4 linked regions of the Anolis sagrei genome follow. Each later gene encodes a partner of the first gene's protein in a complex. Links are inferred from orthologs where the notes say so. Each region holds a gene or a part of one and is shown on either strand. Other genes may lie near its edges.

Evidence for each region.
Region 2: SMARCD3 (region 1) and PHF10 share a complex: the UniProt entries of both Homo sapiens proteins name them as parts of the neural progenitors-specific chromatin remodeling complex. The link is inferred for Anolis sagrei from reciprocal best matches to the Homo sapiens genes SMARCD3 and PHF10.
Region 3: SMARCD3 (region 1) and DPF3 share a complex: the UniProt entries of both Homo sapiens proteins name them as parts of the BAF complex. The link is inferred for Anolis sagrei from reciprocal best matches to the Homo sapiens genes SMARCD3 and DPF3.
Region 4: SMARCD3 (region 1) and ARID1B share a complex: the UniProt entries of both Homo sapiens proteins name them as parts of the neuron-specific chromatin remodeling complex. The link is inferred for Anolis sagrei from reciprocal best matches to the Homo sapiens genes SMARCD3 and ARID1B.

Annotation. Positions count from the first base shown.
Region 1 is NC_090026.1:134,052,183-134,059,617, reverse strand, and holds the start of SMARCD3 (SWI/SNF-related matrix-associated actin-dependent regulator of chromatin subfamily D member 3), read right to left. Parts: upstream 3,014-7,435; 5' UTR 2,954-3,013; coding exon 2,876-2,953; intron 1-2,875. UniProt on the Homo sapiens protein: Involved in transcriptional activation and repression of select genes by chromatin remodeling (alteration of DNA-nucleosome topology).
Region 2 is NC_090025.1:190,183,714-190,190,905, forward strand, and holds the start of PHF10 (PHD finger protein 10), read left to right. Parts: upstream 1-4,191; 5' UTR 4,192-4,275; coding exon 4,276-4,344; intron 4,345-7,192. UniProt on the Homo sapiens protein: Involved in transcription activity regulation by chromatin remodeling. Belongs to the neural progenitors-specific chromatin remodeling complex (npBAF complex) and is required for the proliferation of neural progenitors.
Region 3 is NC_090021.1:285,843,728-285,850,847, reverse strand, and holds the start of DPF3 (zinc finger protein DPF3), read left to right. Parts: upstream 1-4,110; 5' UTR 4,111-4,166; coding exon 4,167-4,198; intron 4,199-7,120. UniProt on the Homo sapiens protein: Belongs to the neuron-specific chromatin remodeling complex (nBAF complex).
Region 4 is NC_090021.1:69,803,420-69,811,065, forward strand, and holds the start of ARID1B (AT-rich interactive domain-containing protein 1B), read right to left. Parts: upstream 3,019-7,646; 5' UTR 2,395-3,018; coding exon 811-2,394; intron 1-810. UniProt on the Homo sapiens protein: Involved in transcriptional activation and repression of select genes by chromatin remodeling (alteration of DNA-nucleosome topology).

The sequences.
Region 1 (7,435 bases):
TCTATCTATCTATCTACCTATCTATCTACCTATCTATCTATTAGGCCTGGTCAATCTATGGTTCTAAATGGTTCTAAAGTACTTACAAAACTTAAAGTTCTGGTGGTGAAAATTTCAGAACTCTAACAAAACTTTCAAAATGTAATTATTATTTCATTATTGGTGATTTTTAGGATAGAACCATCTAGGAACTGCCATTTATAATGAAATTTTGAGAATTTTGTTAGAGTTCTGAAATTTTCACCACCAGAACTTTAGTTTTGTAAGTACTTTAGAACCATTTAGAACCATGGATTGACCAGGCTTACTATCTATCTAGATAAAGGTTTCCTCTTGACGTGTCCAACTCTGGGACTCTGGTACTCATCTCCATTTCTAAGCAGAAGAGCCGGCATTGTCCGCAGACGCCTCCAAGGTCAAGTGGCCACTGGCATGATTGCATGGGGAGCTGTTTACTTCCTGCCAGAAGGAGCGGTACCTATTGGTCTACTCACATCTGCATGTTTTCACACTGCTAGGTTGGCAGAAGCTGGGGCTAACAGTGGAAGCTTCCCCTGCTCCCTGGATTCTAATTGCCAACCTTTTGATCAGCAAGTTCAGCAGCTCAGCGGTCTAACTCACTGCACCACTGAGGGCTCCTATAATATATATGTGTTTGTGTATGTGTGACTGGAATTACACTTTAAAATGTCCCCGTTCTGACTGACAAGCAAATTCAACTTAAGAACAAACCCTCAGAAATGTTTGTAACTTGGGGACTACCTGCATTTCCCCCCTCCCCAAAGAAGGAAGTTGAACTTTTCCTGAAAAGGACCACTCAACAGGGGAAAGAGGGGCCCAGAATGGCCCCAGCCCCCACAGAGGAGCCTTCAGTGGGGTGCAGATTGTGTTTGAGTGTGTGTGGGGGGGAGGGGGGGTCACCTGAGCTCCTATTTTGCCTCCATTTCCCTCCCCTCAAAAGAGAAAGAGGAGCCACTTGGCCCAAACTGGACACAAGCACTTTGGCCCCAAAGGAGATCCAGAGAAGGAAGAGGACCTCGGGTGAGCCTCCCCTCCCCTCCCCAAATAATGCCCCCCTCCACTCTCAGACTAGGGAGGGTTCCACATTGAGGAGGGGCGACTGGTGTGGCCCCAGAGAGGAGGAGCCAGGAGAGAGGGACCCAGGGGCCACAATAGGTCTCAACAGGGATCTCTGGACAGCCCCAGAGAGGCAGGTGGTCAAAGTTGGACCGTCCCCACTGGCATTGTGCCCCACTCTTCTTTGCCCCCCCCTCCTTCTCTGCAATGGGGCTGCTTCTGAGAGGCAGGGAGGGGGCACCACCTGCCCCGTCAGGTCTTCAGGGGTCCTTCCAGCCCTCTCTGGCCTCAGTGCCTCCTGGCCCAGTTTTGAAGGGGCTGCATCACCCACCCACCCCATTTGATGCTTCTCTAAGCTCTCCCTGGGGCTGAACCTGTGGGGCCTGCCCCAGTGAGAGAGAGATGCCCCCAGCAGAGCCCCTTGCACACCAAGATCCCTTCTGCCTGCAGCTCAGGCCCACGATTCAGAAGGTCTCCAGTGCTCTACCTGGCCTTGGCTGCCCACCGTCCACCTCTCTGGACACTGCCAGGTCACCTGTTGACCAAGCCCTGCTTGCTCTAGTCTTGGCAGAAGTGGCCCTTCTTGGCCGCTGCCTCCAGTGGGCTTCCGCCCCAAGAATCATAGTTGGAAGAGACCTGGTGGGCCATCATCCAGTCCAACCCCCTTCTGCCAAGAAGCAGGACAATCACGTTCAAAGCACTCCCGAGAGATGGCCACCCAGCCTCTGTTTCAAAGCCTCCATAGGAGGAGCCTCCACTTCTGCTCCAGATTCATATTTTAGAGGGACACTTCCATCTTTTCACAGAAGATGTTTTGGGGGGACTTGCAGCTCTGGCCAAACTCTTGAAGGAGGCTGGACCGTACCCTCCATGGCCCCCCACCCCACCCTGCAAGCAAAGGAGCCCCCTCTTGAGTGACACATGGACAGCAAAAGGAGAGAAGGGGCCCCTTCTTTGGGAGTTGCCGACCCCCCCCCTTCCTCCACCTCCTCCTGGACTGGCCCTGCTGCCCCCTGAAGGGCCTGGCTGACCCTTTGCTACTTCACTGGACCTCACCTGTGGGAGGAGGAGGAGGGGGGTCCAGAAGAGGGCAACCCTAGGGGGGGGGGGGTTGGGTGGAAGGAGCCTTCTCCCTGACAGAAGGGGGCGGGGCTGGGGTCTTCATGACCCCCCCCCCCCCGCCTGTCCCCAAAACTGAGCTTGGATTCCCCACAGACACACACTCCTACCCCCCTCAGCTGTACCCCCCTGGAGTCCTCATGACTCCCCCTTGCATATCCCCAAAACTGAGCTTGGCTTCTCTTGTGTTCCCCACAGACACACACTCCCACGCCCCCACCCCTCAGCTGTACCCCCCAGGCTTGGGCTGCATCCCAAAGAAACAGCTGCCCAGAAAAGCCCCCGCAGCTGCTCTGGGACGGAGGGAGGGAGGGGCACCTGCGGAGACCTGAGGGGGGGGGGGGGCGCCGGGCATTTCCTCTTCCCAGTGAACAGACTCCAGGCAAAAGTTTCCGAGGGTCCTCCTGGGCCGGCTGCCGAGAAGCCCCCTCCTCACACACTTTGCCCTGCTCTATCCAGGAGGCCAAGCCCCCCCCCCCCTCTCGAAGATCCAGAGGAATCTGAAGCCCCCCCCCTCCTCCCCGCAAAGGCATCTCCCAGGCGGGGAGGGGGACGGGGCGACCCCCCTCGGCGGGGCACCTGTTCGGGGCAAGGCACGTGTGGGGGGGGGGGGGCGGGGCGGGCCAGCCTCTCCCCTCCCTCCTTCCCTCCCTCCTGTCCCCCTCCCCCCCTCACTCACCACCCCATGGACCAGGAACTCGAAAAGTTTGCTCTTGGTGGCCTTCCGCGCCCCGCCGGTCACTTCCTCCGCGGCCATGGGTCCGGCTGGGCGAGGAGGGGCGGGAGAGGAGAGAGAGAGAGCGGCGACCAGGGAATAGGGGGGGGGGGGCGAGGGAAGGCGGGAGGGAAGGAAGGAGGGAGAGAGGGAGGGGCCTGCTTTCTCCGCCCGCCTTGCCTCCCCTCCCCTTCCCTTCCCTTCCCCGCCGCCGCCGCCCCGGCCTCCTTCTCCTTCTTCCTCCGGCCTCTCCCGCCTTCCTGCCTTCCGCCGGTCGAGAGAGAGAGAGAGAGAGGCCCAGGGGGAGGGCGGAGGGGAGGAGGGGGAGGGCGGGAGGAGGGAAGGAGGGAAAGAGGGGAGGGGTCCGCACGGGGCGCCGCGAGGGACGGCCCCAGGCGGCGGAGCAGAGGCACCAGCTGCGGCCCAAATTCCTCCGCCCAAGACAGAGAGAGAGAGAGAGAGAGAGAGGAGGGGAAGGGGGGAGGGAGGGGAGGGGGAGGAGCGGACCCTCGGGAGGACACCCCCCCCCCCACGCTCAGACCCCGGACCGGGAAGGGGGGGAGGGAGGGAGGGAGGGAGGGGAGGAAAGAAGGAAGCAGGCGCCGACAGACACAGAAAGAGAGAGAGAGGAGGGGAGGGGGAGGGAAAGGGGGAGAGGGAGGGGAGGGAGGGGCGGACCCTCGGGAGGACACCCCCCCCCCCACGCTCAGACCCCGGACCGGGAAGGGAGGGAGGGGAGGAAAGAAGGAAGCAGGCGCCGACAGACACACAGAGAGAGAGAGGGGGGGAGGGGAAGGGAAAAGGGGGAGAGGGAGGGAAGGGGAGGGGGAGGAGCGGACCCTCGGGAGGACACCCCCCGAGTTCAGACCCCGAGCCGGACCGGGAAGGGGGGGAGGGAGGGAAGAGGAGGGGAGGAAAGAAGGAAGGGAGGAAGGAAGGAAGGAAGGGGCCTCTTCCCCTCCCGGCCGCACAAAGGCTCCTCCCCGCCCCTCCCCTTCTCTCTCTCTCTCTCCCCCCCCCCCCCCCTCGGACGCCGCGCCCTCCCTCCCTCCCTCCCTCTCTCCCTTCCTCCGCCGCTTCCGGCCTCCTCTCCCGGGTCAGCCCCCCCCCGAGAGCCCCGCCCCCACCCCTCGACGCCCCCTCCCTCTCTCCCTCCCTCCAGAGGAGCCAGACCCGACTCTTCCCCCCCACCCCGAGAGGAAAGGCATGGGATCCGATTACCCCCCCCCTTTCCCTTCCCGCCGCAACGAGGGGGGGGCGCACTTGCCGTCCTTCCCGGCGCCGCGGTGACCGGCATCTCCGGCGCTGGTCTCCCTGGCAACAGAGGCGGCGTTGCCAGGTAACGGGAGGGGCGTGGTACCCAAGGGAGGCTCGAGAAGGAGGGAGGGAGGGAAAGAGGGAGGGGCGTACGCCCCTTTGGAGGGCGGGGGCTGCGGAGAGACTTCGCGCGGGAAGGAAGCAGGGAGGGGAGGGGAGGGGAGGAGGGAAAGGCCCCCTCCTGGGGAAAAGACCCCTCCTCCGCGGCCCCCTTGGCGCGGGGGGGGGTTGTCTCCTCGCCCGACTCCACCCCCTTGCCCCCCTCCCGAATAGCTACCTCCTCTGAGGGAGGGAAGGAGGGGAGGGCGCATGCGCAGAGACTTCTCTTGTCTCTCCCGTGAAGGTCAGTCAAGCGGACGGCGGGAGGGACGGAGGGGGGAGGGAGGGACGGAGGAGGGGCTTCCGCTCTCCCGTGTTTGGAAACGGAGGCTCCGGGACACGCGCCGCCTCCCACGAGAAGGGAGGGAAGAACCTTCACATACCCCTCCCGCCTCCCCCCCCCCCAGCATAGGGCTCCAAGACGGGGGGGGGGGTCCCGCAGCCAAGCCGGAAGCCAAGCCTGAAGCCCCTTCCCCGCAGGACGGGCCCGGCCCCGAAGGGAAGAGCGGGGTCGGTGGGGCCGAAGGGGGGGCGGCGTGGTCCCTCTTGGCCCCCCCCCTCCGGACCTCCTCCACCCTGCCCGTCTCCCAGGATGTTGCTGCCCAGAGCGGGACCAGGCGAGAGACCGGAGGGAGCCAAGCAGGAGAGAAGTCGGGGGACGGGGGGGGGGGGGCACCCCAGGAGAAGGGCTCGGGCTCCTTTGGCAGCCGCCGAGTCACACTCGGGGCTCCCACTCAGCTTGGGCTCTCCTCAGACCCCTTCTGGACTGGACCCCTTCCCCACGGAGGATTCTCAGGAGATCCCTTTGACCAACAGCCGGGTTTTTCTTTTCTCTGTCAGGAGCCACTTGAGAAACTGCAAGTTGCTTCTGGTGTGACAGAATTGGCTGCCTGCAAGGACGTTGCCCAGAGGACGTTGGTATGGGTGCAGCTGGTGCACAAGTCTTAGTTGTGCCAAAGCTCTCCTGGCCACCACGGAGACCTGGGGTTCCAGGCTCAGCAATGAATCCAGGAGGACTCCCAAGCTGCAAACCTGGTCAGTCGAAACTGACCAGGTGTAACCCCACCTAGCACAGGCTGTAACCCTATGCCCTGTTCAATGGCCTTACGACTGACCAGGAGGACCTCTGTCTTGCCTTGATTCACTTTCAGTTTGTTAGCCCTCATCCAGACCGTCACAGCGGCCAACCACCGGTTCAAGGTCTGGACAGCCTTCATAGTAACAGGTGGGAAGGAGTGACAGAGTTGGACGTCATCTGCGTACAGATAACACCTTACTCTGAAACTCCGGATGACCTCCCCCAGCGGCTTCACGTAGGTGAACATCGGGGACAGTACTGAACCCTGAGGGACTCCACAAGACAACAGTTGTGGAGTCCAACAGGTGTCACCCAATAACACCTTCTGGGACCGACCCTCCAGGAAGGACCGAAGCCACTGCAGAGTAGTACCTCCAAGTCCCATTCCCACGAGGCGTCCCAAAAGGATACCATGGTCGATGGTATCGAAGGCCGCTGAGAGGTCCAGCAGAACCAACAGGGACACACTCCCCCTGTCGAGCTCCTGGCGTAGATCATCTACTAAAGTGACCAAGGCTGTCTCAGTCCCATGTCCCGGCCTAAAGCCAGACTGTGCCGGATCTAGATAATAAGTGCCTACCAAGAACCCCTGGAGTAGCGAGGCCACCACACGTTCCATGACTTTGCCCAAGTAGGAAAGATTGGAAACTGGCCGAAAGTTGACGATTGAGTGGGGTCCAGTGATGGCTTTTTCAACAGTGGTTTAATAACAGCCTGTTTTTTTATGCTGGCTAGAATCTTGCCCTCTTGTAAGGAGGCATTAATCACCACCTTGACCCACTCTGCCAAACCCCCTCTGGCCTCTTCTGTCAGCCAGGATGGGCAGGGGTCCCAGATGCATGTGGTAGGCTTCGCTACTCCAAGGATCTTGTCCAGGTCCTCAAGCTGAACCAATTGAAAAGAATCCATCAAAACCGGACAAGCAGGTGCTCGTGTCACATCTTCAGAGACTGCCGTTAAAGTGGCATCGAAGTCAGAATGGATCAGAGTGACTTTGTCTGCAAAGAACTGAGCAAATGCTTCACAGCGATCTGCCAAGTTGTCAGGGATCTCGCTCTGAGGTGGATTTAATAGTTCTCTGACAACTTGGAACAATTCCACTGGATGGTTCTTAGCGGACACAGTATTGGTCACAAGAAATGTTTGTTGTCGGGGATCAAACTCTGAGGCGGATTTAATAGTCCTCTGACAACTCAAAACAGCTCAGCTGGACGGTTCTTAGCAGATGCAATATTGGCCACGATAGATGTTTTCTGTGCAGCCTTTACTGCCGCGTCATAGGTCCTTAAAAAGGAACCCAGGCGTGCTCGAGCTGATCTGCTATGCTTCCGCCGCCACACACACTCTAGCCTCCTCTTCTTTCACTCCATCGCTGCCAGCTTCTCAGTGAACCAAGGAGCTGGTTTAGCTTGGTTATTGGTGAGGGGGCATTTTGGAGCGATCGGGTCTATTGCCCTGGTCATCTCCCTGTCCCAGAGAGAGACTAGAGCCTTGATAGGGTCACTTACCAAAGAGGCAGGAAAATCCCCAAAAGCCGTCAGGAATCCATTTGGATCCATAAGTCTCCTGGGGCAGACCATTTTAGTGGGCCCACCTCCCCTGCAGAGGTGGAAAGACACAGTAAGTCCCTTTGCCTACCAAGCTAGCAACTCATTCATTCTCTCTCTCTCTCTCTCTCTCTCTCTCTATATATATATATATATATATATAGAAAGGATATTCATCCAGCATGACTTGTTTTTGAGAAATCTGTGCTAATGTCCGCATGGCATCCCTTTGCAATGCTTAGAGATAGTTCTAGAGTCTTTCCTGGTAGGTCTTGATGCCAGGCTGACTAGGCGGTTCTTGTTTGGGGGCCCCTTTTGAAGAGGGGGCCACATCTGCCCTCCTCCAGCCTGTGGGAATGCCCAAAGGTGATGGTCACTAGTCCTGAAATGACTCCTGCCTGTTCTTTCCATATTCTTGGATGGCGTTCAACCTCACCTGGAGATAGAGGTTTCATTGAGATTAGCCAGGTATCCTTGTCCTGC
Region 2 (7,192 bases), on another chromosome or scaffold:
TGAAATACCTTGTGCTGTTTTTTTTCTTACTTGGACTCTATGTCAGATGGCATACATTTTGATATTTTGTCATTACTGTGCCGATCCTTTGGGTGGGTTTCCTTTCAAATACATGTTCTGTGGGTACTTTGCCAGGATTTTTTCCTCCCTTGTACATAGTTATTCTCTTGTATAATGCAGTAATATCTGCAAAGAGTGGTACTTGTTGCTGAGCAACAGAAGGCAGCTTAAGACTTGTTCATAAAAAAGAAAAGAAAGCTTGGGCTGAAAAAAGCAATCACTATTTACAGCTTCATTGTCACAAAAAAGCCACATTCCTCCCAAAGAGTTTACCCACTTGTTGACATTCTTTTTCATAGCTTATTGAAACTATTTCGAAAGCTACAAACAAGGTTGATTGAAGATGACAACAGGGTAGAACAGGCATGGGCAAACTTCGGCCCTCCGGGTGTTTTGGACTTCAACTCCCACAATTCCTAACAGCCTATCGGCTGTTAGGAATTGTGGGAGTTGAAGTCCAAAACACCCGGAGGGCTGAAGTTTGCCGAATATTGAGCACACTAAATCCCCATTAAAACCAAGTACTCTTCAAAATGTGTATTGCAACTCATTCCCAAATAACCTTTGATGAAAAAAAACATTTTTTCTTTTTTTTAAATTAAAAAAATATCCCTCCTTTTCTAAGCAAATATTTTTCTATTAAGCGACCAGACTATTCATAGCAAAGCAACAGATGGTGAAATTCTAGCTTTTCGAAGACAGGCTTCTGTTTCCAGCTGTTTGGCCTCTTAGATGCCGATCTAAGCCAGCGCAGGGCTGCAATACTTCTCTAGGAAATAGCTCCATCATTTTAAGACGTTTTGTTAAAAATAGCAAAAAGGACGAATATTTTAATTTTCACAGTCTTCCATGACCCGCTGGACAATGGTTTCAATTACTCATTTTTAAGAAAAATAAAATAAAAATAGGAATACACAGATTCCTGTTTGGATGCATGTTATTACATCAGCTCTCGGCTTACCGCAGGCATGGGAAAACTTTGGCCCTCCAAATTGGACTTCAACTCCCACAAATCCTAACCTGGGATCAGATCCTGGGATATACTTAGGCGATCCCTCGTTGGCAGAGTAGGATAATCTTCCAGGATCAGTATTCTGGTGGGTCCGTAGGTGACTGTGGAGCCCTATTCTTGATCTGCATCTTCTCCCGCAGTGAGGGCATTGGTTTCCAGGTGGAAGGCGGTCTCTGTCGGGATTGACTTGACGCGCCTTCCTCTTGGCATGTTTCTCTCTTTCACCCTCCATTCGTGCCTCTTCAAATTCTGCAGCACTGCTGGTCACAGCTGACCTCCAGCTGGAGCACTCAAGGGCCAGGACTTCCCAGTTTTCAGTGTCTATGCCAGAGTTTTTAAGCTTGGCCAGATAGGCCCTATATCCTGGGATATAGGGCCTATCTGGAAGAGCCCTTAGATAGTGTTGTGTATGCCTGCTTGCAGCATGGAATTCGACTTCCTACTCTAAATTTCTTTCAGGCTGGCTGGGTTTATTTATTTATTTCATGTAAAAGCACTGCATAAATACCATGGTAAATAATGTACCATGCAGCTGTGGACAAGTCTACAGAGGGACCACCAAACGCAGCTTTGCCCAAACACGAATCAAGGAACATGAAAGGCGCTGCAGACTAATTCAACCAGAAAAGCCAGCCATAGGAGAGCACCCGATGAACCAACCTGGACACAGCCTATTATTTGAAAGCACAGAAATGTTGGACCACTCTCACAACCACCATGTCAGACAACACAGAGAATCCACTGAAATCCATAAGCATGTGGACAATTTCAACAGAAAGGAGGAAACCATGAAAATGAACAAAATCTAGCTACTAGTATTTTTAAAAATTCTAAAATCAGGACACTAAATAAAGAGCAACACTCAAAAATCAGGGGAATTCGAGAGAAGATACAATCATGGCCAGGTTACACCTCCCAACAAAGGACTCCCCAGGCAGCAATCACTCAGGCTTTGAAGCTGCAAGGCCATTAAATGCTAATCAAGGTGGCCAATTGCAACATTCACACTTTCCCCAAACAGACGAGAGTTCTTTTTCCCACCCTGGACATTCCAAAGATATATAAAACTCACCTGCCTAGTTTCCAGAAGACCCCTCAACATGTGAGGATGCCTGCCATAGATGTGTGTGAAATGTCAGGAGAGAATGCTTCTGGAACTTTGCCAGACAGCCTGGCAAACTCAGGGTAGCTTACAAGGATGTTATTGCGGGCAGCTACTTTGTGCTTGGTGTTTGCATAGCATTTCCTAAATATTAGTGTTCTGTCTAAGGCAGGGATCCTCAAACTAACAACCAGGGGCCGGATGTGGCCCCCCAAGGTCATTTACCCGGCCCTCGCTCAGTGTCAACATAAGTCTGAAATGACTTGAAAGCACAAAACAACAATCCTATCTCATCAGCCAAAAGCAGGCCCACACTTCCCATTCATATGCTAATAAGTTTATATTTGGGTTGTTGTAGGTTTTTTCGGGCTATATGGCCATGTTCTAGAGGCATTTCTCCTGACATTTCGCCTGCATCTATGGCAAGCATCCTCAGAGGTAGTGAGGTCTGTTGGAACTCGGAAAATTGGTTTATATATCTGTGGAATTACCAGGATAGGACAAAGGACTCTTGTCTGCTGGAGCTAAGTGTGAATGTTTCAACTGACCACCTTGATTAGCATTTGATTGCCTGGCAGTGCCTGGAGCAATCTTTTGTTGAGAGGTGATTAGATGTCCTTGTTTGTTTCCTCTCTGTTGTTGTGCTGTTCTAATTTTAGAGTTTTTTTTTTTAATACTGGTAGCCAGATTTTGTTCATTTCAATGGTTTCCTCCTTTCTGTTGAAATTGTCCACCTGCTAATCAAGGTGGTCAGTTGAAACATTCACACCTAGCTCCTGCAGGCAAGAGTCCTTTCTCCCACCCTGGTCATTCCACAGATATATAAACTCTTTTTCCTAGTTCCAACAGACCTCACTACCTCTGAGGATGCTTCCCATAGATGCAGGCGAAACGTCAGGAGAGAATGCCTCTAGAACATGGCCATATAGCCCGAAAAAACCCACAAGAACCTAACAAAATGAAGAACAATTTAAACAAATATAAACGTATTGTCGAAGGCTTTCATGGCCGGAATCACTGGGTTGTTGTAGGTTTTTTCGGGCTATACGGCCATGTTCTAGAGACATTTCTCCTGACGTTTTGCCTGCATCTATAGTAAGAATCCTCAGAGGTAGTGAGGTCTGTTGGAACTAGGAAAAAAGGTTTATATTTCTGTGGAATGACCAGGGTGGGACAAAGAACTCTTGCCTGCTGGAGCTAGGTGTGAATGTTTCAACTGACCACGTTGATTAGCATTTGATGGCCTGGCAGTGCCTGGGGGAATCTTTTGTTGAGAGGTGTTAAGATGTGCCTGAAAGAAACCCAGCCATCCTGAAAGAAATCTAGAGTAGGAAGTTGAATCCTATGCTGCAAGCAGGCATACACAACACTATCTAAGAGGGCTCTTCCAGATAGGTCCTATATCCCAGGATATAGGGCCTATCTGGCCAACCTTAAAAACTCTGGCATAGACACTGAAAACTGGGAAGCCCTGGCCCTTGAGTGCTCAAGCTGGAGGTCAGCTGTGACCAGCAGTGCTGCAGAATTTGAAGAGGCATGAATGGAGGGTGAAAGAGAGAAACGTGCCAAGAGGAAGGTGCGTCAAGCCAACCCTGACTGAGACGGCCTTTCACCTGGAAACCAATGCCCTTACTACAGGAGAAGATGCAGATCAAGAATAGGGCTCCACAGTCACCTAGGGACTGATCCTGGAAGACTATCCTACTTGGCCAACGAGGGATTGCCTAATGTAGACTTGTCTTCATTTTAATTATTGCATTCTTTTCATGTTTTTTTCCAATTATAATCTGGCCCTCCAACAGTTTGAGGGACTGTGACCTGGCCCTCTGTTTCAAAAGTTTGAAGATCCCTGGTCTAAGGCCTGCTGGGTGAAAACTTAAGTCTACAGGTGTAATCAATGCCTTGCGCATGCGCATATGGGTGTGCAGTAGAAGAAGGAGGCGCTCTGGGATGCGGCTGCAATACCACTGCTAGGGCGCAGGTGGCGCTGTCATGCAACGGCGTTCTGAGAGCCGGAAGCGGAAGTAGGGTCGCGTGAGGGAGAAAGGAGGAGGAAGAAGAGGCCGATGGTGGACCTTTCTCGCCGCGGCCGTCGGCGGTGATGGCGGCCGTTCTGTCCCCGCGGGTATGTGACAGCGACCCGGCCACGCCTGGAACCCAGTCCCTCAAGGTGAGAGCCGCTTTCCCCTCAAAGCCTCGCCGAGAAGCGCTGAGGGAGGCGTTTGCATCCTGTGAGGCCTGCTACGGCCGCCATCTTGGATCCCCTCCAAGGCAGGGAAAAAGCTTTTTCTCCTCAGGCCATTCTCATTAGATATTTTTAAGAATTAATATAGGAGTTGGCCATAACAAAACAACACCCTACAACAGGGAGAAATGCAAAATACTCCACTTAGGCAGAAAAAACCCAAACAACACTATAACAGGGACAAAGGCAAAACACTTTGGCAGAAAAAAATGAAATGCTAAAATACAGAATGGGGGACAATGAGGCCTGGCTCGAGAGCAGTACGTGTGAAAAAGATCTTGGAGTCCTCGTGGACAACAAGTTAAACATGAGCCAACAATGTGATGTGGCGGCAAAAAAAGCCAATGGGATTTTGGCCTGCATCAATAGGAGCATAGTGTCTAGATCTAGGGAAGTAGTGCTACCCCTCTATTCTGCTTTGGTTAGACCACATCTGGAATATTGTGTCCAATTCTGGGCACCACAATTCAAGAGAGATATTGACAAGCTGGAATGTGTCCAGAGGAGGGCGACTAAAATGATCAAGGGTCTGGAGAACAAGCCCTATGAGGAGCGGCTTAGGGAACTGGGCATGTTTAGCCTGAAGAAGAGAAGGCTGAGAGGAGATATGATAGCCATTTATAAATATGTGAGAGGAAGCCACAGGGAGGAGGGAGCAAGCTTGTTTTCTGCTTCCCTGGAGACTAGGACGCAATGGAACAATGGCTTCAAACTAGCCGTTCAGCAGTGGAACTCTCTGTCCCGGAGTGTGGGGGAGGCTCCTTCTTTGGAAGCTTTTAAGCAGAGGCTGGATGGCCATCTGTCAGGGGTGATTTGAATGCAATATTCCTGCTTCTTGGCAGAATGGGGTTGGACTGGATGGCCCATGAGGTCTCTTCCAACTCTTTGATTCTATGATTCTATGAGCCAACAATGTCATGTGGCGGCAAAAAAAGCCAGTGGGATTTTGGCCTGCATCAGTAGGAGCAAAGTGTCTAGATCTAGGGAAGTCATGCTCTCCATGCTAAAGCTTGAAATCATCATTTGCTGTTGAGCCATGATGTTGTTTTCATGATGTTGTCTGATTATGATGTTTTGTTGATTTTTGGTTGTTGATTGTTAAATGGACGAACCCAGAGGGTGCTCACCAATGCTTCCTCTTCAACTTGGAAAGAAGTGACGAGCAGCGTGCCGCAGGGTTCTGTCCTGGGCCCGGTCCTGTTCAACATCTTTATTAATTACTTAGATGAAGGGTTAGAAGGCAGGATCATCAAGTTTGCAGACGACACCAAATTGGGAGGGATAGCCAATACTCCAGAGGACAGGAGCAGGATTCAAAACGATCTTGACAGATTAGAGAGATGGGCCAAAACTAACAAAATGAAGTTCAACAGTGACAAATGCAAGATACTTCACTTTGGCAGGAAAAACGAAATGCAAAGATACAGAATGGGGGACAATGCCTGGCTCGAGAGCAGTACATGTGAAAAAAATCTTGGGCGTCCTCTTGGACAACAAGTTAAACATGAGCCAACAATGTGATGTGGCGGCAAAAAAAGCCAGTGGGATTTTGGCCTGCATCAATAGGAGCCTAGTGTCTAGATCTAGGGAAGTCATGCTCCCCATGCTCTATTCTGCTTTGGTTAGACCACACCTGGAATATTGTGTCCCATTCTGGGCACCACAATTCAACAGAGATATTGACAAGCTGGAATGTGTCCAGAGGAGGGTGACTAAAATGATCAAGGATTTGGAGAACAATCCCTATGAGGAGCGGCTTAAGGAGCTGGGTGAGCCAACACCCTGAGATATGGATGGAGGATGATGAGCAACAATTTTAGTGTGATGACTGACCATTATAGTTATTGAGTGTAATTGCTGTTTTAATATTTTACTGTAATATGTATTATGATGTTTTATTGATTGTATGTGATATTATGGTTGGAAACCGGTCTGAGTCCCTCAAGAGAGGTAAGAAGGCCGGTATAAAAAACTTTTAAATAAATAAATATTTAATAATAATAATAATAATTTAAAAAACTTTTATTTATACCCCGCTACCATCTCCCCAAGGGACTCATTGCGGCTTACATTTAGCCTGAAGAAGAGAAGGCTGAGAGGAGATATGATAGCCATGCATAAATATGTGAGAGGAAGCCAAAGGGAGGAGGGAGCAAGCTTGTTTTCTGCTTCCCTGGAGACTAGGACGCGGAACAATGGCTTCAAACTACAAGAGAGAAGATTCCATCTGAACACGAGGAAGAACTTCCTGACTGTGAGAGCCATTCAGCAGTGGAACTCTCTACCCCAGAGTGTGGTGGATAGTCCTTCTTTGGAAGCTTTTAAACAGAGGCTGGATGGCCATCTGTCAGGGGTGCTTTGAATGCAATATTCCTGCTTCTTGGCAGAATGGGGTTGGACTGAATGGCCCATGAGGTCTCTTCCAACTCTTTGATTCTATGATTCTAAGTTAAACATGAGCCAACAATGTGATGTGGTGGCAAAAAAAGCCAATGGGATTTTGGTCTACATCAATAGGAGCATAGTGTCTAGATCGAGGGAAGTAATGCTACCCATGCTCTATTCTGCCTTGGTTAGACCACACCTGGAATATTGTGTCCAATTCTGGGCACTACAATTGAAGGGAGATGTTGACAAGCTGGAATATGTCCAGAGGACGGCGACTAAAATGATCAAGGGTCTGGAGAATAAGCCCTATGAGGAGCGGCTTAAGGAGCTGGGTGAGCCAACACCCTGAGATATGGATGGAGGATGATGAGCAACGATTTTAGTG
Region 3 (7,120 bases), on another chromosome or scaffold:
ATGAGTTCAGGAGGATTCCCAAGCTGCGAACCTGCACCTTCAAAGGGGGTGTAACCAGGAGGACCTCTGTCTTGTCTGGATTCAACTTCAATTTGTTTGCCCTCATCCAGACTCTCACAGTGGCCAGACTTAAGCAGCTGAAGGGGGAAAGGAAAGGGCCTGAGGCTGATAGGAATTGAGGGAGTTGAAGTCCAAAACACCCAGAGAGAGGGCCCAAGTTTCCCCATGCCTGAGCTAACCTATGTTTGGGGATGAGGCCAGGATCTTGAGTAGCTCCTACTAAAAACCAGTGCAGATTTCTCATTTAGCTTGCCCCCTACTCCTTTCAAACACTTAGATGTGGCCTGTCTTAACCTTCTCCTCTCCAGGTTAAACATATCTGGCTCTCTGAGCCACTTTCTCACAGCGCTTGGCTTTGGTTGCCCTTCTCTGGACAGGTTCCAGCTTGTCAATATCCTTCTTGAACAGTGGTGCCCAGAACTGGACTGATGGGTTGACTTGGTATGCATGGAAGTTGTCCTTTGCCACTGTGGCAGGTGCCTACTCTTGACGCAGCCTTCCTGAATTCCACTTTATGCTTAAGTCAAATTGGTTGAGCAGTGTAACCTGTCCAAGTTGACTCAGACCTAAGTCCTATTGTGTCCCTTGGGGCTTATCCTGCCCTACCTTCACTGCAGTTAATGGTATGTGTCCTGATCATGTGCATCTACACGCTTAAGCGGCTGAGGGGGGAAAGGAAGGGGCCTGAGGCTGTTAGGAATGGTGGGAGTTGAAGTCCAAAACACTTGGAGGGAGGGCCAAAGCCTGCCCCTGCCTGGTGTCGAGGGAGAGTGACTCCAGCCTTCTTGTAAGCACATTAAAGCAATCCTTTTGTTTCTCCCTCTGGGTAATTCCTTTGCAGACTCCTGTAATTAGCGACAGGTAAACTCAGACGTCTTGGAGTGGGCTGCCTTTGCCAGGAGCTTTGCCAGAGCGGTGTCTGCGCTCCTTTGGCGGTGCAATTCCCCCTCTTAATGAGAAAGTTGGCAAAGCTCCTCCTCCTCCCTCCCTCCCCCCTCCCTGATGCCAGAGGTCAGGTCTCGACACGCCAAAGCAGACGATCCTGGGGGAGGAGGAAAAGACATCGTCTTTCATTTTTCCAAAAGTTCCTTGGGAGTGAAGCAAGCAGGCGGTCGGTTGGGCCACTTCGCGTTATGTAACGACGCGGAGAGGCATTCCTGGCCGGAGGGGGAGAGGAAGGGGAAGGGAAGGGAAGGGAAGGGAAGGAAAGGGTGCCCGTCCTGCGCCGGAGTCAATACGACCGTTGCAACGCTGCCAAGAAACCTGAAGCGGAAAGTGGTCGGAAGGGAAAAGCTGCGGGAAACGGAGGAGGAGGGAAAGGCGGAACTTTCTTGACTTTCTTTGCAGTGCCAGAAATGCACCCACATGGCTGGGAGGCGGTCTCTGCAAGAGCATGGTTTAGGCTGGATCTGCACTGCCATAGTTTGAACTGCAGTAAATACTGGAACCCTTGTGCCAGCAGGACTGAAGACCCACAGGTCGGAGGTTCGAATCCAGGGAGAGTGCGGATGAGCTCCCTCTGTCAGCTCTAGCTCTCCATGCGAGGACATGAGAGAAGCCTCCCACAAGGATGATAAACCATCAAAATATCTGGGCGCCCCCTGGGCAACGTCCTTGCCCACGGCCAATTCTCTCACACCAGAAGCGACTTGCAGTTTCTCAAGTCGCTCCTGACACACTCTCACTCACTCCGAGTAGGATAGTCTTCCAGGATCAGTGTACTGGCGGTGGGTCCTTAGGTGACTGTGGAGCCCTGTTCTTGACCTGCGTCTTCTCCTCAAGTGAGGGCATTGATTTCCAGGTGGAAAAAGGTCTTAGTCAGGATTGGCTTGATTGGCACGTTTCTCTCTTTCGCCTTCCATTCGTGCCTCTTCAAATTCTACAGCACTGCTGGTCACAGCTGACCTCCAACTGGAGCACTCAAGGGCCAGGACTTCCCAGTTCTCAGTGTATATGCCAAAGGCTTTGAGCCCATCTTTAAATCTCTTTTCCTGCCCACCAACATTCCATTTTACGTTCTTGAGTTCAGAGTAGAGCAACTGCTTTGGGAGACGGTGGTCGGGCATCCGGACAATGTGGCCGGTCCAGCGGAGTTGATGGCGGAGGACCATAGCTTCAGTGCTGGTGGTCTTTGCTTCTCCCAGCATGCTGGCATTTGTCTTCGCAAGAGATTTGCAGGATTTTCCGGAGGCAGCGCTGATGGAATCGTTCCAGGAGTTGCGTGTGACATCTGTAGACAGTCCACGTTTCACAGGCATATAGCAGGTTTGGAAGGACAATAGCTTTACAAACAGGCACCTTGTTTACAAACAGGCACCTTGTTATCCCTGCAGATGTCCCGACACACACACAACGGCAGTAAATGGTTGCATACTGACTATATAACACAGTTCAAACTGCATTATATGACAGAGGAGCAGGAGGAAGTGGTCCCAAACTCCTCCAGAGTTCTGAAGGCCCCCTTCCTCCACTGACATGTATTGTGGCCCATCTACAGAGATATTCTTGGAAGACCTCAGCAAGCGAGAGTCCAAAAGTGGCAGGCTAAAACCCAGCACCTCAATCCATGGCTGATACCAAATGAGAGATTCCTTCCTGGGCACACAGAAGACTGGGCAACTTGGAAGGCATTGAACACACTGTTGGGGATTGTGGGAGTTGAAGTCCAAAACTGCATTCATCCTTTGTGCACACGTGCATGTGTGTGTGAGGAACGACTTGAGAAACTGCAAGGCACTTCTAGTGTGAGAGAATTGGCCGTCTGCAAGGACGTTGCCCAGGTGTGTTACCATTCTGTGGGAGGCTTCCCTAGTTCCAGCATGGGAGGCTCTTGCACCAGGAGATGCAAAGCCAATCTTAAGAAATGGGCCCACAAAGTGGAGTCTAAGACATGGTAGTGTGGAGAAGAGCAAACCACAGACCACCTATTACAATGCAACCTGAGCCCTGCCACATGCACAATGGAGGACCTTCTTGCAGCAACACCAGAGGCACTCCAAGTGGCCAGCTACTGGTTAAAGGACATTTAATAGAAGGCCAAGTTTTTAAACTTTGTGTTTTCTCAAATACATCAGAACTATACCCTTGGTTCGCTCTCTGATACGATAGATCAATAAATAAATGGGAAGCTGGAGCTGACAGATGGGAGCTCACCTTGGTCTCCCGGAATCAAAGCTGCTGATCTTTTGGGCAGCAGTCCAGACGGCACATGAGTTTAATAGAATGCCAAGTTTTAAAACTTTGTTTTCTCAAATACATCACAACTGTACCCTTGGTTCGCTCCTGATACAATAAATAAATAAATAAATAAATGGTAAGCTGGAGCTGACAGACGGGAGCTCATCTTGCTCCCTGGATTCAAAACTGCTGATCTTTTGGTCAGCAGCCGTGCAGGCACATGAGTTTAATAGAACGCCAAGTTTTTTAAACTTTGTGTTTTCTCAAATACATTACAACTGTACCCTTGGTTCACTGCTGATACGATAAATAAATAAATGGGAAGCTGGAGCTGACAGATGGGAGCTCACCTTGGTCTCCCAGAATTAAAACTGCCGATCTTTTGGTCAGCAGTCTATATGGCATGTGAGTTTAATAGAATGCCAAGTTTTTAAACTTTGTGTTTTCTCAAATACATCCCAACTGTACCTTTGGTCCGCTGACACAATAAATAAATAAATGGGAAGCTGGAGCTGACAGACGGGAGCTCAGCCTGCTCCCCGGATTCAAAACTGCCGATCTTTTGGTCAGCAGTCCAGACGGCACATGACTTTATTAGAATGCCAAGTTTTTAAACTTTGTGTTTTCCCAAATATCCTTGGTTCGCTCCTGATACGATAAATAAGTAAGTCCAGAGCGTGGCTCTGTGTCTCTCTCCCCTTTTCCCCGTGCCGCTGGCCCTTTAAGACCTGCTCTCCGAACACTTGCACAGAAAGGGAGTGACCTCTGGGCTTTGACAGCTCCCCTAATAACCAGCCCGAGCCCTGGCCCCGCCCACCGCGCTCCGATTGGTCGCCGGGCCGGTATCCTCTCTCCCCATTGGGCGCCCGGTTCCCCTGAGCGAACCTTTTAGAACTCCGAGGCACAATATTCTGTTACATTGTAGCAAAATGGCGACTGTCATTCACAACCCCCTGAAAGCGTAAGTAGGAATCAAAAATGTACATATTTCCGCGTGGTTTCGATATGAAAAAAGGGCGCCTTTCCCTATGCAGGCGGCCAAGGCAGGAGCGGGCTGCCGGCAAGGCTCCCTCGCTCCCGGGGTTGGTGTGGCTTGCCTTATTTGTGTGTCACACGCACAAAAGTCTCCCTCCGCGGGGGAATTTCATGGGAAGGAACCAATTGTCACCGGGGCGTCCTGCCTGATTGATTGATGGGCGGCTGGCCGGGGACGGAGAGAGTTTTGGGGGCTCTTTAAAGGCGAAGCCACGGCTTCCGTGGCAGCTCCGGGTGGTCGGAGTCGGGGAAGGAAGGAAGGAAAAGGGAAGGGAAAGGAAGGGAAAGAAGGATCGATGCCGGGCAGGATTGGGCTGGATCTAGATCTCCCTTTCTATCCAGGGCGGCTTGTGCAGCAGTTGGGGAGTTCTTTCTTTTGTATGCCTGTCTTCGTGCATTTGTGTGCCTTCTGTGCGCGACATTTCCAAGCCCGGGGAGGAAGGAAAGAGAGTCGGGGGCTTGCCTCCCTTTCCCAGCCTTTCCTGCGCCTGTTTGCCCGGAGGGACTGCGCCGCGGACCTTTTCCTTGGCAGGTCAAGCCTTGGGAGCTCTGCGTAGATATATAGATCTAGATACACGGATGTATTGATACGAAACCCTGAGGCAAAGAGACGGCCGGACTTCCTGCGCTTGGATGGGAAGTAGCCTCCCGAGAATATATAGAAATATTCGGGAGAGAAAGAGAGAGAGACCTGGGGAGGTGAAAATATATTTCTCTCCAACTCTCTGTATATATATCAAGCATGGTCGAACTTGGGATCTCCAGGTGTTTTGGACTCGAACTCCCATCATCCCTCCCAGCCACAGGTCCCTTCCTTTTCTCCCTCAGCCGCTTAAGCGAACTTGGACCCTCCAGGTGTTTTGGACTCCAACTCCCACAATCCCCAACAGACACAGGCCCCTTCCTTTTCTCCCTCAGGAAAAGGAAGGGACCTGAGGTTGTTGGGGATTGTGGGAGTTGGAGTCCAAAACAGGAAGGGGTCTGAGGCTGTTGGGGATTGTGGGAGTTGCAGTCCAAAACATCTCAGACCCTCTTCTTTTCTCAGGAAGGGGCCTGAGGTTGTTGGGGATTGTGGAGTTGGAGTCCAAAACAGGAAGGAGTTTGAGTTTGTTGGGATTGTGGGAGTTGGAATCCTAAACAGGAAGGGGTTTGAGTTTGTTGGGGATTGTGGGAGTTGGAGTCCAGTGCTGCTTCTCCTCTATTATCGCTGGCCTCTGACAGGAAGGGGTTTGAGGCTGTTGGAGATTGTGGGAGTTGGAGTCCAAAACACCTGGAGGGCCCAAGTTCGCCCATGCCTGTTCTGTATGCATGTATCAGCTCTCTCTATTTTTTCGTGTCAGGAGTGACTTGAGAAATTGAATTGGGCGTCTGCAAGGATATTGCCCAGGGGATGTTTTACCATCCTTGTGGGAGGCTTCTCTCATGTCCCCGGCATGGGGAGCTGGAGCTGACAGAGGGAGCTCATCCTCTCTCTCTCCCCGAATTCGAACCTTCGACCTGTCGGTTTAAGCCATGCCTACCTATCGAGAGATAGTTGGAGCGTGAAAGAGGGAATCCTCGGAGAGCTGGAAGACTCTCCTCGCTTCCCATTCCGGAAGCCCGTTGGCGCTCCTCTTTGGCTCCGGGTCCACGGTTCCTTCCCCTCCATCTGCCTCTTCTCCTCCCTTCCCTCCCTCGCTCCAATCTTTCCCAAAGTAGAAAGGCTTGGGGGAGGTGTGCGTGTGCGTGTGTAGATCTCGGCGTGAGGGACTCGAGGCTCCGGCGTTGTGCTGTGTGTGTGTGTGTGTTTGTTGTGTATGTGTCTCTTTCTCTCCCCGGGGGCGGGCAGGAGGCGTCCCGACAGGTGCAGCCGGCTCCGGGAAGCAGTCGGAAGGAAGGCGCTGTGAAGATTGAGGGAGGGAGGCTTTCCTGGCCGGGTTGGGGAGGAGGGGGGTAGTTCTTTCGGGCTGGAAGACACTCACACGTTTGCTCGCACAGACACGCAACCAGCCGGCTAATCCCCGAAGGCATTAAGAAGGGAAGGGAAGGGGGGGGGGAGGGGTTTGGCCGCAGGTCTGGAGGCGCCCACTCGGCTTCCGCCCTCCCCCCTCCCGCCCCTTGACCTTTAGAGCCTCACGTTTGGCGCCGGAGGAAAGGAAAAGGCTGGCTTTCCGAGGGGGAGGGGGCACTTCCCCGCTCCTTTTAAAAGCCAAGGGACTGTCTGCAGCCACTTCCTTCCCCTTTGAGCTGCGCTTCCCGCCCTTGGCCAGCAACTCGGGGCTGACTTTGGGGCCCTCCAGACGGCAGAGGGTCTTGGCAAGCGGCTCCTGGTGTGAGAGAATTGGTCGTCTGCAAGGACGTTCCCCAGGGAACGCCTGGATGTTTGACTATCCAGTGGGAGGCTTCTCTTATGTGTTCAGATGAGAAGCTGGAGCTGACAGAGGGAGCTCACCCTGCTCCCGGATTCGAACCGCAGCAGTCCTGTCAGCAAGAGCCAGCGTTTTTCATAGACGCCCCCTAGGTCACGTGTCCAACATGATTGAATGGAGTGTCATTACCTTCCCGCCGAAGCGGTACCTATTGAGCTACTGTCATTTGCATGCTTTAGAACTGCTAGATTGGCAGAAGCTGGGGCTAACAGTAGGAGCTCACTCTCTGGATTCAAACAGCAAGTTCAGCAGCTCAGTGGTTTAACCTGCTGCGCCACCAGGGGCCTATACATAAATAAAAATAAATAATTGGGGGAAGGGGAGGTTCCGGGGGGTCCACCCCAAGGCTCTTTTCAGTGGGAGGGGAGCCCACGCGAGGTGGAGAAAGCCAACTTCCAGGCGGATGGCGAGGGGAACGCCTAAGCACCCCCCTTCCCCCC
Region 4 (7,646 bases), on another chromosome or scaffold:
CTGCCTCGATATTCTGGGATATAGGGCTGTGTGGAAGGATCCAGAGTGTGGGTCTAGGTAGGTATGTGGCGCATGGGCTGCTACACACCCAAAGCTGTGGGGCTGTGGAAATAATGTGGGACTTTCTGCCTTGGTATTCTAGGATATAGGGCAGCGTGGAAGGGCCCAGAGTGTGAGTCTGGGTAGGTATATGGTGCAAGGGTTGCCACACACACAAAGCTGTGGGGCTGTGGAAAGACCCCAAGTGTGAGTCTGGGTAGGTATGTGGTGCAAGGGTTGCCACACACACAAAGCTGTGGGGCTGTGGAAATGATATGGGACTTTCTGCCTCAATATTCTGGGATATAGGGCTGTGTGGAAGGATCCAGAGTGTGGGTCTAGGTGGGTATGTGGCGCATGGGCTGCTACACACACAAAGCTGTGGGGCTGTGGAAATAATGTGGGACTTTCTGCCTTGATATTCTGGGATATAGGGCAGCGTGGAAGGGCCCTGAGTGTGGGTCTGCGTAGGTATATGGTGCAAGGGTTGCCACACACAAAGCTGTGGGGCTGTGGAAATAATGTGGGACTTTCTGCCTCGATATTCTGGGATATGGGGCTGTGTTTCCACAGGGCCCTGAGCGTGTGTCTGGGTGGAGAGGTGGTGCAAGTCTTGCCTCACACAAAAAGCTCTTGTTTTCCACGAAGGGAGCCAGCCCAGCCCAGCTCTCTGTGGCCTGAAAGAGGCTGAGACAGTGTCCCTCGCTAAGCCAGGCGTGGAAAGTCAAAAGGGGAAGAAGGAAGGAGGGAGAGGCGGCGGGGAATGCTTACCTGGCTCCTGCCGAGGGCCTGTGCGGCGGCGGCGGCGGTGCTGGCCCCGGGGCTCATGGCCGGGTGTCCCCGCTGTGGCGCGGCGGCGGGGGGCCAGGCCGGGCTGGCGTTGGCGCTGCTGGCCCCGAACGGGCCCCCGTCCTTGCCCGCCAGCCCCGCCGAGGAGGAGGAGGAAGAAGAAGAAGAGGCGGAAGAAGAGGCGGCGGCGGCGGCGGCTTGGGTGGAGGGGGGCTGGGGCTGCGGGGCCGCCGGGGCCGGGTGCCCGTACTCGGGGTACCCGCTGCTGCCCCCGTAGCTCCGCATCATGGGGCTGGGCGAAGTCAGGAGCTGGTTCAAGGTCGGCGTGGCTCCCGAGGGGTGCTGCTGCTGCTGCTGCTGCGCCGGGCCCGGGAAGCGCTGGAAGCCCTTACTGCCGCCTCCTCCTCCTCCTCCTCCGCTTGGGCCCAGCATCATGCCCTGCGGAGGGAGCTGCCTGGGGGAGCCCAGCACCCCGAAGGCCGAGGACGGGCTGTTCCCATAGCTGCTTCCTCCTCCTCCTCCGCTTCCTCCTGCTCCAGCTCCAGGCCTCCCGTAGGCGTAGTGGTTGTAGTGCCCGTGGGCGAAGGCGTCGTGGGAGTGGGGCGCGGGCTCCATGCTGAGAGGCCCCCCTGTTACTCCTGCTGCCGCCGTTGCCGTTGCCGCGGGGAGCATTAGCCCCATCCCGGGGCTTTGTTGTCCGCCATGTTGATCAAAGCAAGGCCCGGCCCGGCTGGCGGAGGAGGAGGAGGAAGAGGAGGAGGAGGAAGAAGAGGAGGCGCTGTTGCCGTTGTTGTTGTTGCTCCCGCTGTAATAGCTATTAAACTCCGAGGCGGCGGAGGGGCCTCCACTATTGCCACCACTACTACTACTTCCTCCTCCTCCTCCTCCTGGTCCCATTTTCTCCGCGTCTGCTTCCTCCCCTCCTTTCTTCAAGGCCCTCGCCGCCTTCCCCGTGGCCGCCCCGGCCTGGTTGGGGGCCCCCAAAGCGCCTTCGTGGCCTCCATGTTGCTGCTCTTGAGGCGGCTCCATGTCTGCGCTGCCAGGCTGAGCAGCGCCTCCGCCGTTGCTGTTGTGACTCTGTTGCTGCTGCTGCTGCTGCTGCGGTTGGAAGGGGCTCCTGTGCAAGGCCTGCCGGAGCTGGAAGGGCAGCGAGGCCGCGTGAGCGTGGAGGTGGTCGCCCCCGACGCCTTTCAGCTTGTGGTTGGGCGCCAGGCCGGCCTCCATCGCCGCGAACAAGCCGGGAGACTCTTTGAGAAGCGCCTCCGAGGGAGAAGAGCCGCCACCGCCGATGATGTTGCTTGCGTTGTGATTCGAAGGAGGAGAAGGAGTTGCATTATTGGCCGCGCTCAGCTCATGATGGTGGAGGCGGCGGTGGAGGAGGTGGTGGTGGTGCTGGTGGAGCTCCACGTTGTTTAAGCCTCCGCTCTTGTTGTTGCTGTTCGTCCCATCTGCGCCCAGAGAGTCCTGGCTTAAGCTGCTGCTGTTGCTGCTGCTGGTGTTGTTTCCCGGCAAAGAGGGGCTCTTGCTGCCTCGGTTGTTCTCCCTCGCCGCCACTTGCGCGGCCATGATCAAGGCAACATGGCTCACTCCGGGAGGAAATAGTCATAAATAAGGACGCAAAAAAGAAAGAAAAAGGGGGAAACCCCAAGAGGAGAGGGAAACACAAACCCCACAATAAGTGGGACGCCGGATTGTTTGCCAACCCACCCAAAAAAAACCCAAAATAATAGATTGGTTATTCCATATTGAGTTCAACTCCCCTCCTTGGCTGAGTCCTTGCTTAATTAAGGACGCCCGTGGTGGGCTCTCACGAGGAAAGTTATTTTGGGAGGGGGTTTTGAGGGGGAGTCAATAAAACTTTTCCTTTCTTTCTCTCTCTTTTCTTCCTTTCTCTCTCCTTCCTTCCTTTCTCTCTCTCTCTCTTTCTTTCTCTTTCTGTCTTTCTTTCCCCGCTTTGAACCCGGATATGGGTAAATATAACTAAATACACGTCTGGCTGCGCCGATCTGGCCCAGCGTGCATGGCAGGAAGGACAGAGAGAGAGAGAGAGAAAAGGAGCTCCAACCACTACGATCCACTTCTGCTGAGAGACTGGGCCGCATGGAAAACGCGGAGTGGATTCCGATCCCGGATTCTGCGGAGGAGGAGGAGGAGAGGAAGGGAAAGCCCGCCTGGCCTCTAGCGCTGAGCTCGGCAGAAACGAGGAAACATGAGGCTTTTAGACCCTTCCACATAGAACAGGGAAGGGTCCCCTTTTTAAACAGAGGGCCAGGTCAGTCCCGCAAACTGTTGGAGGGCCGGATTATAATATGAAAAAAAAGAAGAATTCCTATGCACACTGCATATATCTTATTTGTAGTGCAAAAAACACTTAAAAACAATGCAATAATTAAAATGGCGCAGTGGGTTAAAGCACTGAGCTGCTGAGCTTGTTGATTGAAAGGTCACAGGTTCAAATCCGGGGAGCGGAGTGAGCTTCTGCTGTCAGCCCCAGCATCTGACAACTAGCAGTTTGAAAACAGGCAAATGTGAGTGGTTCATTAGGTACCGCACCAGTGGGAAGGTAACGGCGCTCCATGCAGTCATGCCAGCCACATGACCTTGGAGGTGTCTATGGACAACGCCGGCTCTTCGGCTTAGAAATAGAGATGAGCACCACACCCGTCAGCCCCAGCTTCTGCCAACCTAGCAGTTTGAAAACATGCAAATGTGAGTAGATCAATATGTACCACTCTGGCAGGAAGGTAACGGCGCTCCTTGCAGTCATGCTGGCCACATGACCTTGGAGGTGTCTATGGACAACGCCGGCTCTTCGGCTTAGAAATGGAGATGAGCACCACACCCCAGAGTCAGACACGACTGGACTTAATGTCAGGGCAAAACCTTTACCTTTACCTTAACTAAAATGAAGAACAAGTTTAACAAATATAAACTTATGAGTATTTCAATGGGAAGTGTGGGTCTGCTTTTGGCTGATGAGATAGGATTGTTGTGTGCTTTCAAGTCATTTCAGAGTTAGGTTGACCCTGATCGAGGGCCGGGTAAATAACCTTGGAGGGCCATATCCAGCCCTTGGGCCTTAGTTTGGGGACTCCTGACATAGATGAATAAAATTCCACATTATCTGCTTTGGATCAGAATATATGGCAGTGTGGACTTGGGGACCTTCCACACAGCCCTATATCCCAGAATATCAAGACAGAAAATCACACAATATCTGCTTTTAACTGGGTAATCTGAGTCTGCACTGCCATCTATTCCAGCTCAAAGCAGATACTGTGGGATTTTTTGTCTTGATATTCTGGGATATAGGGCTGCATGGAAAAGTCCCATGTCAGACTACACAGAGAAGCCATTGAAATCCACAAGCATGTGGACAATTTTAACAAAAAAGAGGTAACTATGAACAAAGTCTGGCTACCAGTATTTTAAAAACTCAAAATAAAGACAGTAAATAAAGTGCAACTCTCTGAAAACAGATAGGAAACAATCAGGACCAGCTAATCACCTCCCAACAAAGGATTCCACCAGGCAGGAAGCAGCTAGGCTTTGAAGCTGCAAAGCTATTACATGCTAATCGAGAAGGCCAATTGCAACATTCACACTTGCCTTAAACAGACAAGAGTTCTCCCCCCCCCCCCCCCCGGGCATTCCACAGATATATAAACCCCATTTTCCTAGTTTCCAGCAGACCTCACAACCTCTGAGAATGCCTGCCACAGATGTAGGTGAAATATCAGGAGAGAATGCTTCTGGGACATGGCCATACTGCCCAGAAAACTCACAGCAACCCAGTGACAAAAAGCCTTCAGCAACACAGGCTTTACAACTGTTTTGTATTGTGTGTCACTTTCTTTTTATTCCTTCTCAATATTACACCTCGACCATTTGTGTCCATTGAGCTCCTTTTCACACACTTCCAAAGCACCAATACACTAAACTGACCTATCAGTGTTAGTTTTTGGAATGGCCTGAAAGGGTCCTCTGCATCAATCACACGATCACATTTTAAAGAAACCATACTTTGAAGCCATTTAGGTGGACGTGAGAAAAATACCTTTATTCTCATTATGTGCAGGATACCACACGGTTAAAAGGCATAGATTAAAAAGACCAGCAAAACACACATATATTAAAATACATAAGATTAGAAAAACTCATAAGCAAAAGATGACAGTGCCCAACACACATTTTAGTATCTCCAATGTTAGTCCTGTTTCTGGGTGTATTTCACCTGCTGGTTCCAAAAATGGCACCCGTTCTCCCCTATCAGCTTTAGTTTTTTCAGATACAGAACATATGCCATCTACTAGTTGCCATCTGCTCACCCATAAAATATCAGGATCTTTTAATGTGTTTAAATTAATATCTTTCAAGCACAAAGAAAACATATTAAACATTAAAAGAAAAGTGTGCTGCATAAGAATCTACGTATTTCATACCAAAAGCACAGATTTATGATACAAACTTTCCACACATGTGTTGTCAAAGGCTTTCATGGCCAGAATCACTGCGTTGCTGTGAGTTTTCCGGGCTGTATGGCCATGTTCCAGAAGCATTCTCTCCTGATGTTTGGCTCACATCTGTGGCAGGCATCCTCAGAGGTTGTGAGGGAATTCCATACAGGAAACCATTGGGGCCAGCTAACGTCTCAACAAAGAATTCCCCCAGGCAGCAACCAGCCAGGCTTTGAAGCTGCAAGCCCATTCAGTGCTAATCAAGGTGGCCAATGCTGACTGACAGCAATTCTCTCAGTTCTTTCTGACCTCTGTCTAGAAATGTTACAGACTGAACTCTAAACCCTTTGCACATTAACTACGTACCCCACCACTACTCTTATTAAGTGTAAGTTCTGTTAAAATGATTGAATCAGTCCTAAAATGTTTATTTGGAAGACTAACAGGCTATTCCATCAAATTGTTCTACCCAAGTAGCACACCATGCACTAACCACACAAATGGAATTCGCACAGAATCAGACTTGTGAAATGTACCATTTGATGAAGATAAACTACACAAACTCTCAAATATCAACTATGTTGATGTACTCAAAGGTTTAGTCCATTAATTAACTGATACATTGATTTAAAAACAAGACAGCTATTTGACTAAAAAGCCCTCATTAACTGGCATCCCTTGAAAACAATGTTCATCTGGAACTTTACCCTCAGAAATATTATTGTCCATTTCATGTTAGCAGCATTGCTTTAAAGAGTATGTGAGGATGCATTTTAATAACTGCAGTATCATAGTCTCTGCTATTTCCCCACGTGCAAATATTTTTATAAAAATTGTGTGTATGTGTGTAAGAGAGACTAAGAATACAGTAGAACCCCCATATGTGTGGGACTAATATCTGCTGTTTAATTTATCCACATTTAACAAAATACCATATGTCCTTTCTAGCCATTTTCTTGGTCCTCCAGCATGTCATCGTGGTTAGGTATTTTATTTATTTGTTTGTTTGTTTTAGGGCATTTATATCCCTTCCTATCTCACCTCCACAGAGGGACTCAGGGCAGGTAACAACCGGCACAGCATAGTGCCCACAATAAGAAAAGCATTTGTTATTCATTCGTTCAGTTGTTTCCGACTCTTCGTGCCTTCATGGACCAGCCCACGCCAGAGCTCCCTGTCGGTTGTCACCACTCCCAGCTCCTTCAAGAAAAGCATAAATATACATAATATAATAAAACAGTATAAAAACAATATAAAAATATTAAGTACAATAACGAATTCAGTGATAATCCTAAAAACAGTCCATCATAGTCCATTAAAACCATAACTTCGCCAGTCAGTCTAGTCAGCAAAGGCCCGATCCCACAGCCAGGATTTCACTTTTTTTCAGAAGGACAGGAGAGATGGAGCAGATCTGATTTCGTTTGGGAGGAAATTCCTTACCCAAGGGACCACCATGGAGAAGGCCCTGTCTCTCGTCCCCACCAAGTGTGATTGTGATGGTGGGGGGACAGAGCAGGGCCTGCCCTGACTATCTTAAGGTCCTAGATGACTCGTAGCAGGAGATACGTTCGGACAGGTAAACTGGGCCAGAACCGTTAAGGGCTTTATAGGCCAAAGCCAGCACTTTTGTGCTCAGAAGCTAATAGGCAGCCAGTGGAGCTGGCGTAGCAAGGGCATGTGAGCTCTCGGTACCCCATCCCATGAGCAACTTGGGTTCCAAGTGATAGACTAACTGAAGCTTCCAAACAGTCTTCAGAGTCAACCCCACGTACAGTGCATTGCAGTAGTCTATTTGGGATGTAACCGAAGCGTGGACCACCGTGATCAAGTCTGACCTCCCAAGATATGGGCGCAGTAGGCGCACAAGTTTTAATTGTGTGAAAGCTCCCCTGGCCACCGCTGAAACCTGGGGTTCCAGGCTCAGCAATGAGTCCAGGATCACTCCCAAACTGGAAACCTGTGCCTTCGGGAGTGTAACCTCATCAAGCACAGGCTGTAACCCTATACCCTATAATGCTATTCATTAAATTATGTCTGTATGTATGTACTTGTTGGCATTGAATATTTGCCTTTTATGTTCTCAGCTGCTCTGAGTTCCATACTGAGAGATGCGGTGAGATATAAAGTTTCATTAGTATTATATTCTTGGATGGGAAGTCCTTAATTTAAATGAGATTTGCTATCTTCCCACTGTTTCATGTATCCAGATGAAGTCCAGGAGCATATTCATTATGGATACAGGCGTCATACTAATACCACAATCTATTAAATAAACTAGGAAGTAAAATAATCCAACACAATATTTATAGTACATTCAAGCATATGTTAGAAGTAGGTAAATGATACTTTTATCATAAA